Linked DNA regions of Arabidopsis thaliana. The protein of the gene in region 3 interacts with the protein of the main gene of each other region in a pairwise test. Each region holds a gene or a part of one and is shown on either strand. Other genes may lie near its edges.

Evidence for each region. Proteins that work in one complex are often made in the same cells at the same time.
Region 1: the proteins of AT2G23070 (region 3) and AT5G58720 interact in a two-hybrid assay, tested with the Arabidopsis thaliana proteins (one large-scale study listed by BioGRID).
Region 2: the proteins of AT2G23070 (region 3) and DHAR1 interact in a protein complementation assay, tested with the Arabidopsis thaliana proteins (one large-scale study listed by BioGRID).

The regions. Positions count from the first base shown.
Region 1 is NC_003076.8:23,719,185-23,725,122, forward strand, and holds AT5G58720 (smr (Small MutS Related) domain-containing protein), read right to left. Parts: upstream 3,992-5,938; 5' UTR 3,791-3,991; coding exon 3,151-3,790; intron 2,962-3,150; coding exon 2,936-2,961; intron 2,812-2,935; coding exon 2,725-2,811; intron 2,629-2,724; coding exon 2,558-2,628; intron 2,237-2,557; coding exon 2,010-2,236; intron 1,757-2,009; coding exon 1,680-1,756; intron 1,607-1,679; coding exon 1,550-1,606; intron 1,466-1,549; coding exon 1,398-1,465; intron 1,313-1,397; coding exon 1,206-1,312; coding exon of another isoform or gene 1,150-1,205; exon of another isoform or gene 1,086-1,149; coding exon 1,015-1,085; coding exon of another isoform or gene 925-1,014; exon of another isoform or gene 921-924; coding exon 792-920; 3' UTR 511-791; downstream 1-510. Other genes in the region: ROC7 (rotamase CYP 7), read left to right, coding at 1-1, 173-311; Mik (pfkB-like carbohydrate kinase family protein), read right to left, coding at 4,443-4,619, 5,256-5,938.
Region 2 is NC_003070.9:6,772,792-6,776,309, reverse strand, and holds DHAR1 (dehydroascorbate reductase), read left to right. Parts: upstream 1-1,786; 5' UTR 1,787-1,896; coding exon 1,897-1,954; intron 1,955-2,078; coding exon 2,079-2,169; intron 2,170-2,355; coding exon 2,356-2,848; 3' UTR 2,849-3,008; downstream 3,009-3,518. Other genes in the region: GAMMA CA1 (gamma carbonic anhydrase 1), read right to left, coding at 1-67, 170-295, 861-1,004, 1,259-1,373; AT1G19565 (uncharacterized protein), read left to right, coding at 3,179-3,231, 3,340-3,431. UniProt on the Arabidopsis thaliana protein: Displays a dual function. As a soluble protein, exhibits glutathione-dependent thiol transferase and dehydroascorbate (DHA) reductase activities. Key component of the ascorbate recycling system.
Region 3 is NC_003071.7:9,823,114-9,828,632, reverse strand, and holds AT2G23070 (Protein kinase superfamily protein), read left to right. Parts: upstream 1-1,734; 5' UTR 1,735-1,761; coding exon 1,762-2,141; intron 2,142-2,475; coding exon 2,476-2,605; intron 2,606-2,724; coding exon 2,725-2,919; intron 2,920-3,126; coding exon 3,127-3,284; intron 3,285-3,487; coding exon 3,488-3,578; intron 3,579-3,716; coding exon 3,717-3,782; intron 3,783-3,888; coding exon 3,889-3,971; intron 3,972-4,068; coding exon 4,069-4,132; intron 4,133-4,248; coding exon 4,249-4,317; intron 4,318-4,408; coding exon 4,409-4,471; 3' UTR 4,472-4,991; downstream 4,992-5,519. Other genes in the region: CKA3 (Protein kinase superfamily protein), read right to left, coding at 1-46, 179-269, 423-580, 669-863, 945-1,074, 1,320-1,405. UniProt on the Arabidopsis thaliana protein: Casein kinases are operationally defined by their preferential utilization of acidic proteins such as caseins as substrates. The alpha chain contains the catalytic site. Involved in the regulation of various developmental processes.

The DNA.
Region 1 (5,938 bases), on a different chromosome or scaffold from region 3:
GGTGAGTACAGAATCATCTGAATTTCAAACACATAAAGCCAGTTTCTTATCTTTTACTTTCAAGTTGTTTGACAATTGTGTGGGCAGGTTACTACTTTCTAAGCTTAAGAGTTTCAATTATGGATAGAATTGTCGATATGTTGTTTCCGTCTGCTGATTAGAAAGTTTGCAGGTTGGATGGGCGACATGTGGTATTCGGGAAGGTAGTGACAGGAATGGATGTGGTGTACAAAGTCGAAGCTGAAGGAAATCAGAGTGGAACTCCTAAGAGTAAAGTGGTGATTGTAGACAGTGGTGAGCTTCCCCTGTAACTCAACAACTCTAGTTTTCTCCATCTGATCATCCATTGATGTGAGCTCTAGTGTGCTTGATGACTTTTGTGTTAAAACGAGTGTCTTGGTTACTTTATGAAAGATTCTACCGGCTTTATTTCTTTCGTCTGCTTTCTAGCTCGAGCTATGTCTGACTTTATACACAAATGTCTTTCAGTAGCAAAAATTCTGCACTTATGCCGTTTTGCATTGTCAACATTTGTAGAATTTATAGAAGTTACACGATAATATATATATCAGTAAACTCCTAAAGAAGAGTTAGCGAAAAATATACATTCTGTCTGTGTCAGACAAAGTGTTTTCAGAACTTAAATAACGTGAAATACGGAAAGGAAAAAGAAGGAAGCTAAGTTTTGCCCAACATTTACTTAACAACAGAGAGCTAGCATCAGATATAGACAAAATCGACATAAATTTTAAGATCTAAAGCTAAAACCTGACTTTAGTTTTAGTTATCACTTATTCATCAGAGTCACTCTCTGTGTCTAAGAAACTGAACTCTCTACTACCTCCGTCAAGCTTGATCAGCAGTGTCCCTCTGTTCTCTTCACAATACCTAACTCCTTCTCTTTCTAGCAGCTTTACCACCTGATCATATCCATAAATAACAATCATATACCATGACTGCAATACTAAATTCTTGTCTCCGGTTTTGCTGTGAAAGGGCGTTGAAGAAACTTACTGATTGTTTCACCTTAGACTTCCCAAACCCAGAAGCTCCACATCCTGTGATCACTCGTAGAGTCTGAATGGCTGGATGATTTCACAATTGTTAGGAGGAAGGTATTATCTCGGGTTTTATGATGACAAGATCTGACTATGATGATCTACTAAAGAAGAAAAGACTTATAATTGAGTTTGCTAAGTACTCACAAGGAACATATGATCCAAATAAGAGATGTAGCTTCAGTAGCTTCATTGCTGGTTTAACATGCTGACCATGCAGATCAATGGTTACCACATTCTCTATACCTTTGTTTCTGCATAGTCATAAACAATGGCTTAGTCCACCACAAAATGTTTAAGCGCATCAGCATACTTTGATAATGCATCAAAACAGCTAACCTTGCAACGAATATATCTTGGCTTGCCCTCTCATCAGCCCGTTGAGCTTGTTTAGATGCCACTCTTCCCTAAAAGAAAAACAACACAAGTTTCTGTCATACTGTCAAACAAAATGCCATGATACCATGATATATGTAAACCGTGATATGCACCTTGTCAGAAAGGTAAGCCGCATGAGCCCTCCCTCCTTTCGAATATGCTTCGGCAGCCTTAAACCAATTAATAAATGCATTAGTTGAGGAGTCTACCAGAGCCAGATATATGGAAGCAAGTAAAACTAACTTTTTGATAGTAGGACTTCGTAACATTCCACTGGTCATTTGCACCTTTTCTAAGTTCATGATAACTGTCATCCTTCACTGCAACACACGTACTGATTGATTGGTAATGCAATTCATGAGTAAGAAAGATTGATTCAAGAGTTGCAACACAAACAAGCAGTCAAAACTTCAGATGTTTATGCCAATGACACCAAAGCAAAAATTGCCAAGTGTTTCATCAGGTAAAACAACATACATCAGAAGCTCGAAGCCGGCAAACTCATGGCAAATTGAGCATGCTATTTGCAGCTATATACGCAAATACTAAAATCAAGAAACCATAGTAAAGTACCAAACGTATTAGGGTGAGGCTCTTCCCCACTAGATGAAGAAGCATCAATGCCAAGTGACTGCATTTTCTTTGCCACATTCCTCCAACTCGTTGTCTTTGATTCATGTTTAGGATTCTGGCGAATGTTGAACAGAGACTCCAACACTTTTTGTGGAAGACCAAGCTCATCAATTCCTTGGGTAGTTGCAAAAGGATCTTGAGAACTCATGAGAGCTTTTGCGTAGTCCCTACCATTCAGACAAAGAAAAGAAAAAAAGGCCAGATATTTAGTTTTGACCTCGTCCACAATGTTGAAATTAAGAAATCATAATGTAAGTTTTGGCGGTCTCATGAGTAATTTAGATATCATGTGTTCATGAACTGAATCCTCCACCATGAAATAGTTCGTTTGTTGTTCTTTCATAGAAGAGGATAAGGACTAATTAAAAGATAAGGAGAGGTTGCAGAGAGCTCGTTATCTTGTAACTAACGTGTAAATCAACTCTGATAATTCCAAAATCAGTGAATTGCAATAACAAGATGAAAGCCTAAGAAGCAAATAGAAGTACCTTTGACTATAGTCTCCACCCCAGAAAAGTTCACAATCAGAAGTATCAGTATCAAAAGATGACTCTGCCAGCTGTTAAATAATGTCAGGAGATTGCACTTTATTTTATCGTGTAAGAAAACAAAATAAACAGATCTATGAAGATTAACAAAAAAAACAATCACTTACACTATCGCTGACTCCTATGCCGAAACATTTACCACTCAATGAATCATCAGTTGATGAAGAAGACATGTCAAGCAAGACATTCAAAGCCTAAGAAGAAAACGCTATTAAGCTTTAAAATAAATAGTCGGGCAAGTATCAGCATATTTCAGGAGCTTCCCTGTCAATATACTAAATACTTCCCCATGTAAGTTTGAAGACAATCTCTGCTTACCATGTCGACATCATAGCCACATTGACCTACAAAAAATAGATACTTCCATGTCAATTCATCGAACAATCTAGTCTCTCCTCATAACATTATTACGGCTATATTTCGAATATCGCGGACACATTAAAACGTAATCCTATAACTATTAAGGATCATACTTTTCTACTAACATCTTCTCCCATGGAAAAATTAACTGACTAAGAAGAAGAAATACTCACACAAAACATCTCTAACAACAGCCATGCTAAGCTCGCAATCATCTCCAAGCATTGAACTTAAGAACTGTTCAGCTTTCTCTCTATCCGCAGCTTTTTTCCCGTTCCCACAGAGCTCTTTAGACCGTTCCATCATAGGAAACTCTTTTCGCACAGGGTTTGGCTTCAAGTAATCCTTCGCAATCACAGAAGAAACCATCCCTGTAGCAGCAATAACTCTACTCTGCTTGCTTCCCTTAAACCATCTATCTCTAGTCAAATCTTCGCTACAGCTAGAACTTGACCCTGCCCCATACTCAGAGGTAGACGCTGTTTCCTGACCCGAAGAACCACTCGCCACCGAACTCGTCGACGGATCATCACCGCTTTCCACCAGATCCGATAAAATCTCAGCGGCTTTGTTCAGATCTCCGCCTGCTTCCTTATAAGCAGCCATCGCTTCCTCCATTGAAACCGAGCAAAAGGCTTCCATTAACGATTCGATAAAATTTTTTCCAACGTTTTCTATCTCCCTCTTTCCTTCACCGTCCTTCCTCTCTTCCTCCACATCTTTTTTGTTCCCGTCCGACGTCGTTCCATCACCGGAAGGTTTCGCGGCGCAGGATCGCTTCTTCTTCTTCTTATGCTGGTTCTTCTGCTTCATTATCGTACAATTATAGATGAAATCGTGTCAACGCCGCTTCAATAGAATCTCTTCCGATCTGCAGAAGAAACTTAAACCCAGATTTCCGACGAGAAGCGTCGGAGAGAGGGAAGAGGCGTTTTAACCGTAAATCAGGAGTTAGTAATGGAGATGCCAATATCAGAGGAAATTTTTTGCTCGTCCAGACTTTTGATTGGGAATCGGAATCGCCACGTCAATCCACGCGCCTGATCGTGACCACGTTTTAAATCCACGCGCACGAATCAAACACCGAACACGGTTTCCTCCTGATTGTACATATATTGAACCGGTTCAACTATGCACCAGTCAAAATTAGATCTCCCACGTTGACTTTCGTAATTTTATCTCAGATTTGTTTTTGGTTTTTATATTAACTAGATAATGTGGCAACATGCGAATAGCAAATCATCTTATCCAAAACTTTTAAAACAAAATTTGACATCTTCATTTCGAATTTTGAAACGCGGAGTTGATAAACAAACTTTGCGGGAACGACCAGAAAGAGCGTTTGAAGACGCTGGTCAACGCGTTTTATACATTAAAATTTCCAAAATTCATCAACGTGTTGAAGCAAGCTTACACAACTCAGAAGAGCTTTGTTAGTAAAAAAAAGGTGATTCAAGATTCGTATTCACAGGGACCGATCATCACAAGAGTGACCATTGACCAATAACTTTGGTTGAAGTTGAGAGTCTACGCATGAAAACCGAGCTGGACTTAGACGCTCATGGAACTCGTTGTGATCGTTGTTATGGCTGCTAGATATGTTACACTGCTTCTTCCTTCTCTGTACCTCATCCTTGACTTTCTGCAAATCACAAAGACATATGTCACATAGAAATAACCGATGAAAGGGATGAATCCTTGTGCAGTGCAAACACAAACGCTATAAATCTTCTAATTTGCTTAATGTTCACTTGCACTAGCCAATGGTTCAATTATTATCCAATAACGCCCTCATTTCAACAGATACAACTACAAGAGATACACAGAAACACTCGCAAATACATCAAGAGATCCATACTTTTGAATTCTCTAATTGCTTAACCACATTGTTCGGTGAATGCTTAAACAACACTTTTTCCTGCATCTACCCTATGTTGAATGAAACTGCTCCTAGATTAACAATGAAGTAAAACAAGAAAAGACTCTCTCAGCAGCTGTGACTCGACAGAATCTCAAACAACAACTGTGAAGATTTGACACATTTTCAGATTGGAAACCTATCAACATCAAATACAGATTCTAGTTCACCCGCAAGATATAGGTTTGGCTGTATTGAAAGTAAGCTGCAAGATGTAACAGAGTTCTTTTGCTAGGATTATGTTAAAGACATTTGCATATCACTATCATCGGCTCTAAAAGTTCTTACTACTGTCTATTAGATTTGCAAATCTCTCACAGCATGCAATTCAGTAAGCTAATACGAGACCAAAAAACAAACCTGAAGCATCATCAAATCGAACTTTGGCTGACCAATATGCTCTACAGTGATGGAACCAAAGAGGTTCCCTAACAATGCAGCATCAGGAACAGTCAAACCTTCAACAAGCCCAACAATCAAACCTCCGAGAAAGCTGTCTCCGGCACCGGTAGGATCCACCTGCTTCGCCAAGAACGGAGGAACCGTCATTTCATCATCCTTATGATAAATCCTACACCCTTTTTCACCATTAGTCACCACCACACAACACAAGTGCTTCATTTGTTCAACATCCATGAAAAGAGCTTCGTCTGACGAAGCTTTCAAGAATCCAATTCGATGCAAGATGTGATAAAATCCACTTTCTTTCAAATCAACAAGCTTCACAGCTCCGTCAACAGGATCAAAAACCCTAATCAAAGCTTGAATATCCACAGCAACAACGTCACAGATCTCCACCATTTTCTCAAGCGTCTCCGGTAAAATCTCGCCGCCGACTCCAACGGCCATTCCGAAATCAAATCTCGAATCGGGTATATCCGAAGGAAGAATCGGATCACATGCAGAGACTCTTTTCAACACCCGATCAGCATGACCGATCCCATCGATTCCCAGATCGAAATACGCCTCGAAAACTGTTGTTTCCTTCTCCGGAGCCACGATCGGAGAGTGGGTGACCTCGTATCTGAAGTCGTGTCCTACTT
Region 2 (3,518 bases), on a different chromosome or scaffold from region 3:
AGTGTCGCACCCATCCCAATAAAGGTCTCATCCTCAACAGTACATCCATGTAAAACAGCACTATGACCTGTTACACATTTAATTTAAGACTATATCCCAAATGCTTCTTGGAGATGTATGCATATTAAACATTTTCAAAATAAACAGTGAGTAAGAGATTCCCACTAACCAATGGTTACATTGTCTCCAATTATGGTTGGGTGCACCTTCCCGCTTAAGTTTGATTTTGCCACATGCACAAGTGAGTTGTCCTGAATATTAGTTCCTGACCCAACACTTACGGTGTTCACATCGCCTGCGCAGAAAAAAAGAGAGAAAGCAAGTTTAGATTGTATGTTATCCCAGTTTCCTGGTAAAGTACTAACAGGCTTAGCCATACAGTACCAATGTGTTATGACATGAAAGCATTCTGTAAAAAGGACAACCCTATTTCATCACCATTAAATAAAAATCCAGACTAGCCAACTCATACTCGCAATAAGGATTCAACTCAAACTCAATAATCTGTATATGATATCGTTCAACTAATTCTGGTGTTATGACATGAAAGCATTCTGTATATGATTGGGGATATCATATACCCAATCACCCATTAGAGCAACTGCCAGTATCATCAAGATACGATATGTAGTAATGATCTGTTTAAGATCCTTCAATAAAGCTAGAAAGCTCCATTTTGAGTAGTAGTCTTGTTCATCGCTTAACCAGAAGAGTAAAAAACAGATATTCGTTCACTATTTTCTATCGTAAGAGTTGACACAGCTAAGGATACAGAAGTAGATACTATTTCAAACAAAACTTCAGTCACTAAAATAGTCAACCACCAAACACCAAACATTGAGGCTTAGTAGCTAGCTCACCTCGTAATACGCATCCATACCAAATGGACGATCCTCTTCCAATGTGAACGTCCCCAATAACTGAGGCGCTTGGTGCCACAAAAGCTTCCTTGTCCACAATCGGAGCCTTATCAAATACATTCATCAGTGTCCGATGCCTTGACACTACACAGAGAAAACCACAATTACATATAAGCAAATTTCGTGACCAGGAAACAAAAAAAAAACTAAGCAGCAAAACACATTCCACATCAATTAATCCCTTGTGCCATTCGAATCCAGAATCGCTATACCTACAAAGACATCAATTCCAGATCTCTAACCTAACCAGAATAGGTGAGCTGAATTACCCAATCGAAACTCCTCACTCTTTACGAATTCGAAATCGGAGTGAAAAATAGAGTTACGCAGAATCTTACGTTGTTCTCGGAAGTAATTTTTGCCTTGAAGGCGACAACCGAGGCGATCAAGAGCTTGACCAGTCTCACGGATCCAAAAACCGACCGAGTAAAATGCTCTGCCTAGGGTTCCCATTGATCGTCACTTTCTTCGAGCTCACAGGTAAACGAGGACTCAACACTGAATGAAGAAGACGAAAATGGTCGAAGCTGAAGAAGAGACGGAAGAAAAAAAATCAGCGAAAATGGATTTCAACAGGAACATTCCGGGACGGCGAAACAATAAATTACAGTTACAGTGGTTTAATATGGTTTAATCGAACCAAAACAATACGAAATATGAACCAAATCTAATTCGATATTTCAGGTAGTAGTTTCATTAAACCGATTATATTATTCGGTACGAATTTATTACTATATTTTCACTAAATTGAACGGTCCAAAACCTGCCGACCAAAAATCAAATGGCCCTATCAGTAACAATGTCGTTTCGTATCGTCGTCACTTGCAACGCATAACACGTGAGAAAAGATAAACATCGGGTAAAAATGGCCCACTGGTGGGTGGAGAATGGTAATAATTCAGTTTAAAAGCTAAGCCTTCTCACTGATTAACTCAATCATTCATCCGTCTCTGCAAACAAAGGAAGAAGAATCAAGATGGCTCTGGAAATCTGTGTGAAAGCTGCTGTTGGTGCTCCTGATCATCTCGGCGACTGTAACCATCTTCTCTTTCTCTCTCTGTTTTTGTTTTGCATTAAGCTTTTGATTTTGCAATTCTTAATTTCTGAGCTTTGATCGTTGGTAAATTTACTAATTTAAGTGTTTGTTTGTCGTTTTAGGTCCGTTCAGCCAACGGGCTCTTCTCACACTCGAGGAGAAGAGTCTTACCTACAAAATCCATCTGATTAACCTCTCTGACAAACCCCAGTGGTCAGTTTCTCTCACGCCTAAACCCTTAAGATCGGTCTAGTTTGAACTTGTTTAGCCATAATCTCTGAAATTTTACTTGTAACTGGTACGAGCTTTGTGTTAACCGGAAATTGGATTGGCTTCATGTGCGAGCATTGTGTTAACCGGAACTTGAAATTGGTGGCTTTGGTTTTATATATGATGCAGGTTCTTGGACATTAGTCCTCAAGGGAAAGTACCAGTGCTTAAGATCGACGACAAGTGGGTGACTGATTCCGACGTCATCGTTGGTATACTCGAGGAGAAGTATCCTGATCCACCACTCAAGACTCCTGCTGAATTTGCCTCTGTTGGATCCAACATTTTTGGTACTTTTGGGACATTCTTGAAGAGCAAAGACTCCAATGACGGATCTGAACATGCCTTGCTTGTTGAGCTAGAAGCTTTGGAAAACCATCTTAAGAGTCACGATGGCCCTTTTATCGCCGGAGAAAGAGTTTCCGCAGTGGATCTAAGCTTAGCACCAAAGCTTTACCACCTTCAAGTTGCTCTTGGCCATTTCAAAAGCTGGTCTGTCCCTGAGAGCTTTCCCCATGTCCATAACTACATGAAGACTCTGTTCTCGCTCGACTCTTTTGAGAAAACTAAGACCGAGGAAAAGTATGTGATCTCTGGATGGGCTCCCAAGGTTAACCCTTGAAACTATGCACCGTTATGAGATCGTTGGTGTGGTAATGTTGTTCAAGGTCTCTCTCTTATATCAGTCAAATAATGTACTTGGACCTTTTTATGTAATGTACTGTATCAATCAAATAAGAAGCCTATTTTGAAATAAGATTTGCCTCCATATCGAAACTCGGATAAACACTGGCTACACGTAACATAAGGGACAAGGGTTTTTTCAGACAAATTATTTAAGAAACTCATCGACAGTACTTGTGTACTTGACCTCAGGATAAAGCTCAGAAGTCTTAACTCCAAAAGAAGGATCTATAGTCAAGGAGGTAAAGTCGCTCTTCGCAAGGACCGTATGGATCAAACCCACAAAAAAATCCATTGGAGGCTGGGTCTCTGCAAATGCAAGTGACTCGTTTAATACTTTGGAGTTTGGACTGATGAATATTGGATATCAGAAACTGTTTTTATGGTTTAACTGATCACCTTTGATGGTTTTGAGGAGTTCTTCCTCAGAAACATAAGTCTTGTCGAGACTCGAGAGTCTTACCGATCTTTACATCCCACAAATCAACCATATCGTTCTGCGATACAATGTTCTTGGGCGGGTGAATGTAGGGTTGGGTGAGATTTTCCAAGAATGTTCCTGGGAGAAGGCAGTTATAGTCGCACCGTCAGCAGTCGTAAGGTAATCG
Region 3 (5,519 bases):
GATCATGATTATCATGGCCATAAAAGAACGGTTCCTTACGGAATATCTGCAGCATCAATATTTGACAAGTGAATAAGCAACAGCAAAGTATTAACGACTACCATTCGGAAATTCAAATGCTTGCAATAGCTTCAGCATTGAAGCTAGAGAGAAGAGTGAGGGGATTATTAGTTCTCACCATGCCAGCAAACATGCAACCAAGACTCCACATGTCTAAAGAATAGTCATAATCCTGTAGATCAACTAAAAGCTCGGGACCCTTGAAGTATCTGGCAATTAATTCACAGGTTTTTAGTCTAATGCATTTAACAACTACAAGAAGCTTTGATTGCACAGCTAAAAGTTTCAATCATTGGCATCTACGAATGACCCTCTTAGGCTTGCCAAGACAGGTGGAATTAAGCTGTGGTATCGGATATTACCTCGAGGCCACGCGAACATTATACTCTTTTCCGGGATGGTAAAACTCAGCAAGGCCCCAATCTATCAGACGAAGTTTACGCAGCTGATGATCTATCATGACATTATGAGGCTTAACATCCCTATGCATTATTCCTTGAGAGTGACAGAAATCCAATGCCTGAAATGCAATAACATCAGCTCTGGATTCCACGATAAACATTTGTATGTACGGTAAAAGTCATTTATGGTAAATACCGATACATTACCTTCAGAAGCTCATAAATATAGTACCGGATATCGTAATCAGTCAATGTTGGATACAATACTTTAAAGTCCACACTGTTGACAAACTCAAATACCAAGCTAGGTGTTTTGGAGTGCTCATCTCTAACAATATCATACAGCTTAACAATATTTGGTCCACCACATAGGTTCTGAAGTATTTTGATCTCTCTCTTTATCTGCATAACATCAAGTTTCAGCAAAATTAGCCATCTTTATGTATGCAAATTCATCAGAAATGAGTTCTACTAACTGATCACCTTCTTCTTTTTTACGGGTTTGAGGATCTTGATAACGCAACGCTCATTCGTATTGACGTTTTTGCCTTCGAAAACTTCACTGTATTTTCCTCTACCAACTTTTCTCACAACCTCATAATCATCTTGATGACTGAAGAATCACACAAAAGTATTTAAGAATCTCACACTGTTGAATTTCAAAATCCAATATTTGCTAATAGATACTTAAAACAAAGTGTCTTCAAGAGACCTAAGTCCAAACCCTAAAAAATTCCAATTTCTCTGATTTCGAATTCGATTTGGCAACAAATCAATCAAATTCCACCGAAAATTTATCAAAAAGAAGTCAAAAATCGTAAATTCATCAAAGAAAAATTCTAAAGCTAGAAGTTTTACCCCCATTGAACAACGAGAGACTCGTAGTCCCAATACTCTTTAGGACGAACAACGTTAACATCTGTATAAACCCTAGCTTTCGACATCAATTTCGATCTGAAAAAATGGAGAAATTTGCGATCGCAATCTTCTCTTTGATCGTCAGGTTTGTTTCAAGTGGACGATGATGATGACAACAGAAGAAGTGCGTTGTGCAGGATTAGAAAAAGGTTGAAGAAGAATCTCTGATACCCAAAAACCACCTAAACCAAATCGAACCGATTCAACCACACTCGAACCGAAACAAACCCAATCGGATCGATTTCAATCACACTATAACCGGACCGAATTGTTTAAACGACATCGTTTCGAAGAGAAGCCAAAGAAAAAGAAAGGAGAGAAATAAAGCAAATTCGTTACCTTCACTTTTCATTTTCTGAATAAGAGTTAAAAAAAGACATTAATGGCCTTAAGGCCTTGTACTGGATTCACAATCTCCTCTCTTCGCAACGCTTCCGCCGCCAACAACAATCTCTTCTCTCTCCTCTCCTTCTCTTCGTCGTCTCCGGCGAAGAGGAATCTTCTTCTCTCTTCGCTCCAGGACAATCTCCGTCGTTTCGCATCCAGCGCTTCTCTTTACCGTCAACATCTCCGGAATCAACAACAACAACATCAGCAACAACAGCAATCGCGCGTGAAAGAAAAATCAGAAACGCTGGCTCAGAAGATCGGTAAATCTATCCGGCGTGCCGGTGCGCCGTCGAAAGCTAGGGTTTACGCTGATGTCAACGTTGTTAGACCTAAGGACTATTGGGATTACGAGTCCCTTGCTGTTCAATGGGGGTATATCTTCAGATTCTTCTCTAATTAAACCTAATTACGTCGATTTCTAGATGTTTGCCTTTGGTTATAGATTGGTTTGGGATTGGTTGTTCTGGAATCAATGTGGAATGTAGATTTAGGGTTTCGTTTCATATTTTTGATTGATGATATAATCTCGTAAGTAATGCAGAATTGGTATCTGATTTGTTTGTATTGGTATCTGTTTTGTTTGTATATAATCTCTTGAAAATTGCTGGTCTATGTGAACTAGATTGTTGAATTGATATCTTGAGTTTGTATGGTGTTGTTACTGTTTGGTGTATTAGTGTTTGAGTTAGCTTCATTGATGCCGCAGTGTACAGGATGATTATGAGGTGGTGAGGAAGGTAGGAAGGGGAAAATACAGTGAGGTCTTTGAAGGCATTCATGCTACTGATAACGAGAAATGTGTTATCAAGATTTTGAAGCCTGTGAAGAAGAAGAAGGTGAGTAGATACAGCCGCTTGCTTGTTTTTATCTCAATTGTGCTCAGAATGAAGTGTGTTTCTGGCCCTTCACTTGGTTTGAATTATTCTCTAACATATTTTGCTTCTCCTTGACGCAGATTAAGAGAGAGATTAAGATTCTGCAGAACCTCTGCGGTGGGCCTAATATTGTAAAATTGCTCGACATTGTTAGAGATCAGCAGTCTAAGACGCCCAGCTTGATATTTGAACATGTGAACAATAAAGATTTCAAAGTTCTCTATCCAACTCTCTCAGACTATGATGTTCGATATTACATTTTTGAACTTCTAAAGGTAATTATTCAGTTTCCTGAATTGTAGACCATGATTTTCTTTGCGGCTTTGGCAATTGGCAAAAGTAATCGGTAGATATATCATAGATGTATAGCGTCATACACTGTTGTTTACCTTACTTGACTTTTGAATCCACTAGCCTTCAGTTATAAAGGGTACGAATTTGTTTCTGATGCTGTTTGTTGTTTCTTTTTAACATTTATGCAGGCGTTGGATTTCTGCCATTCACGTGGAATCATGCACAGAGATGTGAAACCACATAATGTCATGATTGATCACGAGCAGCGAAAACTTCGTTTAATTGACTGGGGTTTGGCAGAATTCTATCATCCTGGGAAAGAATACAATGTCCGTGTTGCTTCAAGGTAGTTCCTTTTGGCTATCTGCTAATCTCTCCTCTGCAAGATTCTATTTGTTGCAGTTGCTAAATTTCTGCTCATAGAGAGTCTAGATAAGAAATGTTGAAGATTGCATGCATTGAGCTCTTGAGATTAGTTGAAACATATTATCTAACTTCGTCTAGCTGATGTATACTATTATCATTTCTCACTTCATATTTGATGAGCAGGTACTTTAAGGGTCCAGAGCTGCTGGTGGATTTACAGGACTATGATTATTCCTTAGACCTATGGAGTCTTGGGTGTATGTTTGCTGGAATGGTAAGCGTTTTAAGCTAGAATTTAGTTAACTTGGTTTAAGCTGTAATGGAATGACAAGAATTCGACAGTACATTTTGGTTATTTTACCATTCCTTAAGTTAGTTAAGTGGTGAATATTGTATACTCTACTGTTTGCAGATATTCCGCAAGGAGCCGTTCTTTTATGGCCATGACAACTATGATCAATTGGTCAAAATTGCGAAGGTAACATTACAAAAGCTTTCATCATGTCTCGTCTCCTCTGAACAGATTTTACATTCCTCCAAGTTATAGCTAAAAATACGATTCTATGTATTTATAACTATGGCAGGTGCTTGGCACAGATGAACTCAACGCCTACCTAAACAAATACCGTATAGAGTTGGACCCTAATCTAACATCCCTCGTGGGCAGGTAATCCGGTTTAAAAAGTTATGAAAAACTCTAAAAACTCCAGTTTTGCGCCTTATCATTTCAGAACATTAAATTATGCACTCTTGATTTTATATAGACATAGCCGGAAGCCATGGACAAAGTTCATCAATTCTGAAAACCAGCACTTAGCAGTTCCTGAGGTACAACACTTAACTTTTCTCTATACAATTATGAAGCCTTCATGTTAAGACCAAAACACCGGATTTTTTGGACGAACATGACTCATTTGTTTTCATATACTTTTTGGTTAATGAAGGCTGTTGATTTTGTGGACAAGTTGCTGAGATATGATCACCAAGAAAGGCCAACAGCTAAAGAAGCAATGGTAAGCAACAATTTTTCTTTAATATCTTTCTAAAGATTTTCTCTTATAATTACAGATAAGTGATAGTAGAGAATATGATGGATTTTTACAGGCGCATCCATATTTCTATCCGATTAGAAATGCAGAGAGCAGCCGTACGCCGCGCAGCCAGTGATCTCGAAAACATTTGCTTGTTCAATCTTCTGATTTTTCATTTCTTTACGGATTCAAATTTGTTATAAATCGATCTGTCATTGTTTCATTCTCTCAAGTGTGCGTGTGTTACTGTTTTGCTCTTTCTCAGTGTTTCATTCAACTCATTTGAATTTTATTATATAAAAAAAAATATCCACAAGACGGGTTTCAAAAGGTTTTTCTTTCTTTTCTTCTCATTTTTAATTTTCTGGAAAATTTCATATTCTTGAGCGGGACAGGTTGGTTTGGCTTGCCGGTTTTAGTTAGCCCGTTTTGACAGCTCCGTGGAAGGTAGAAGAAGCTCGCATCGGGAGTAGAGAGTGATGGTCGGTCAGTTAGATATATAACTGTAGACATAAGAAAGCACAAGAATCTCTAATCTAATCCAAATAGTGATTAGGGGACATTAAGCACGTAATCCGATCTTGAGTACTGTGTCTGTGGAACAACCTCGACCTATCTGTCTTATATCTTTTAAGTTTAGTTTAATCTCTCTGGTTCCCTTTGTCCAAATGATTATGCAATCATCCTATATTAGTTTACAATATAGCTGTCTGTCTCTTTCTTTCTTGTTGAAAATGATGCCTTAAAAAAATTACTCATCTCTTAAAATTTTGTGAATTACGCACACGCAAAGATATTGCTGTGTCTAAAACATATGAAACCAAATATGGAAATATATAACTAATAATTGTGCAAGATTTTCAGTATATATATGCATCCATGATCCATCAATCAGTTATTTTTTTCAAATTATTGGAGAAAATCATCCACCAAAAGAGAAATAAATATTTACTTTGGAAACGATTAAAAACGTTTGATAACCGGTGTGCAGTCTTGTGAATTAAGATTATCTTTTGAGTTTTGACACCTTAATCCAAAGTGAGATTTCACGCGTATGAGTAAATGAGATTATTGAATGATGTATTCTGTTGGAATGCTTTAGATAATCAGTTTCGTGTGATAAAGATTTTCTCATTCTGGCCAAAAAAAAATAAAAAAGATTTTTCTGTTTTTCATTCCTGTTT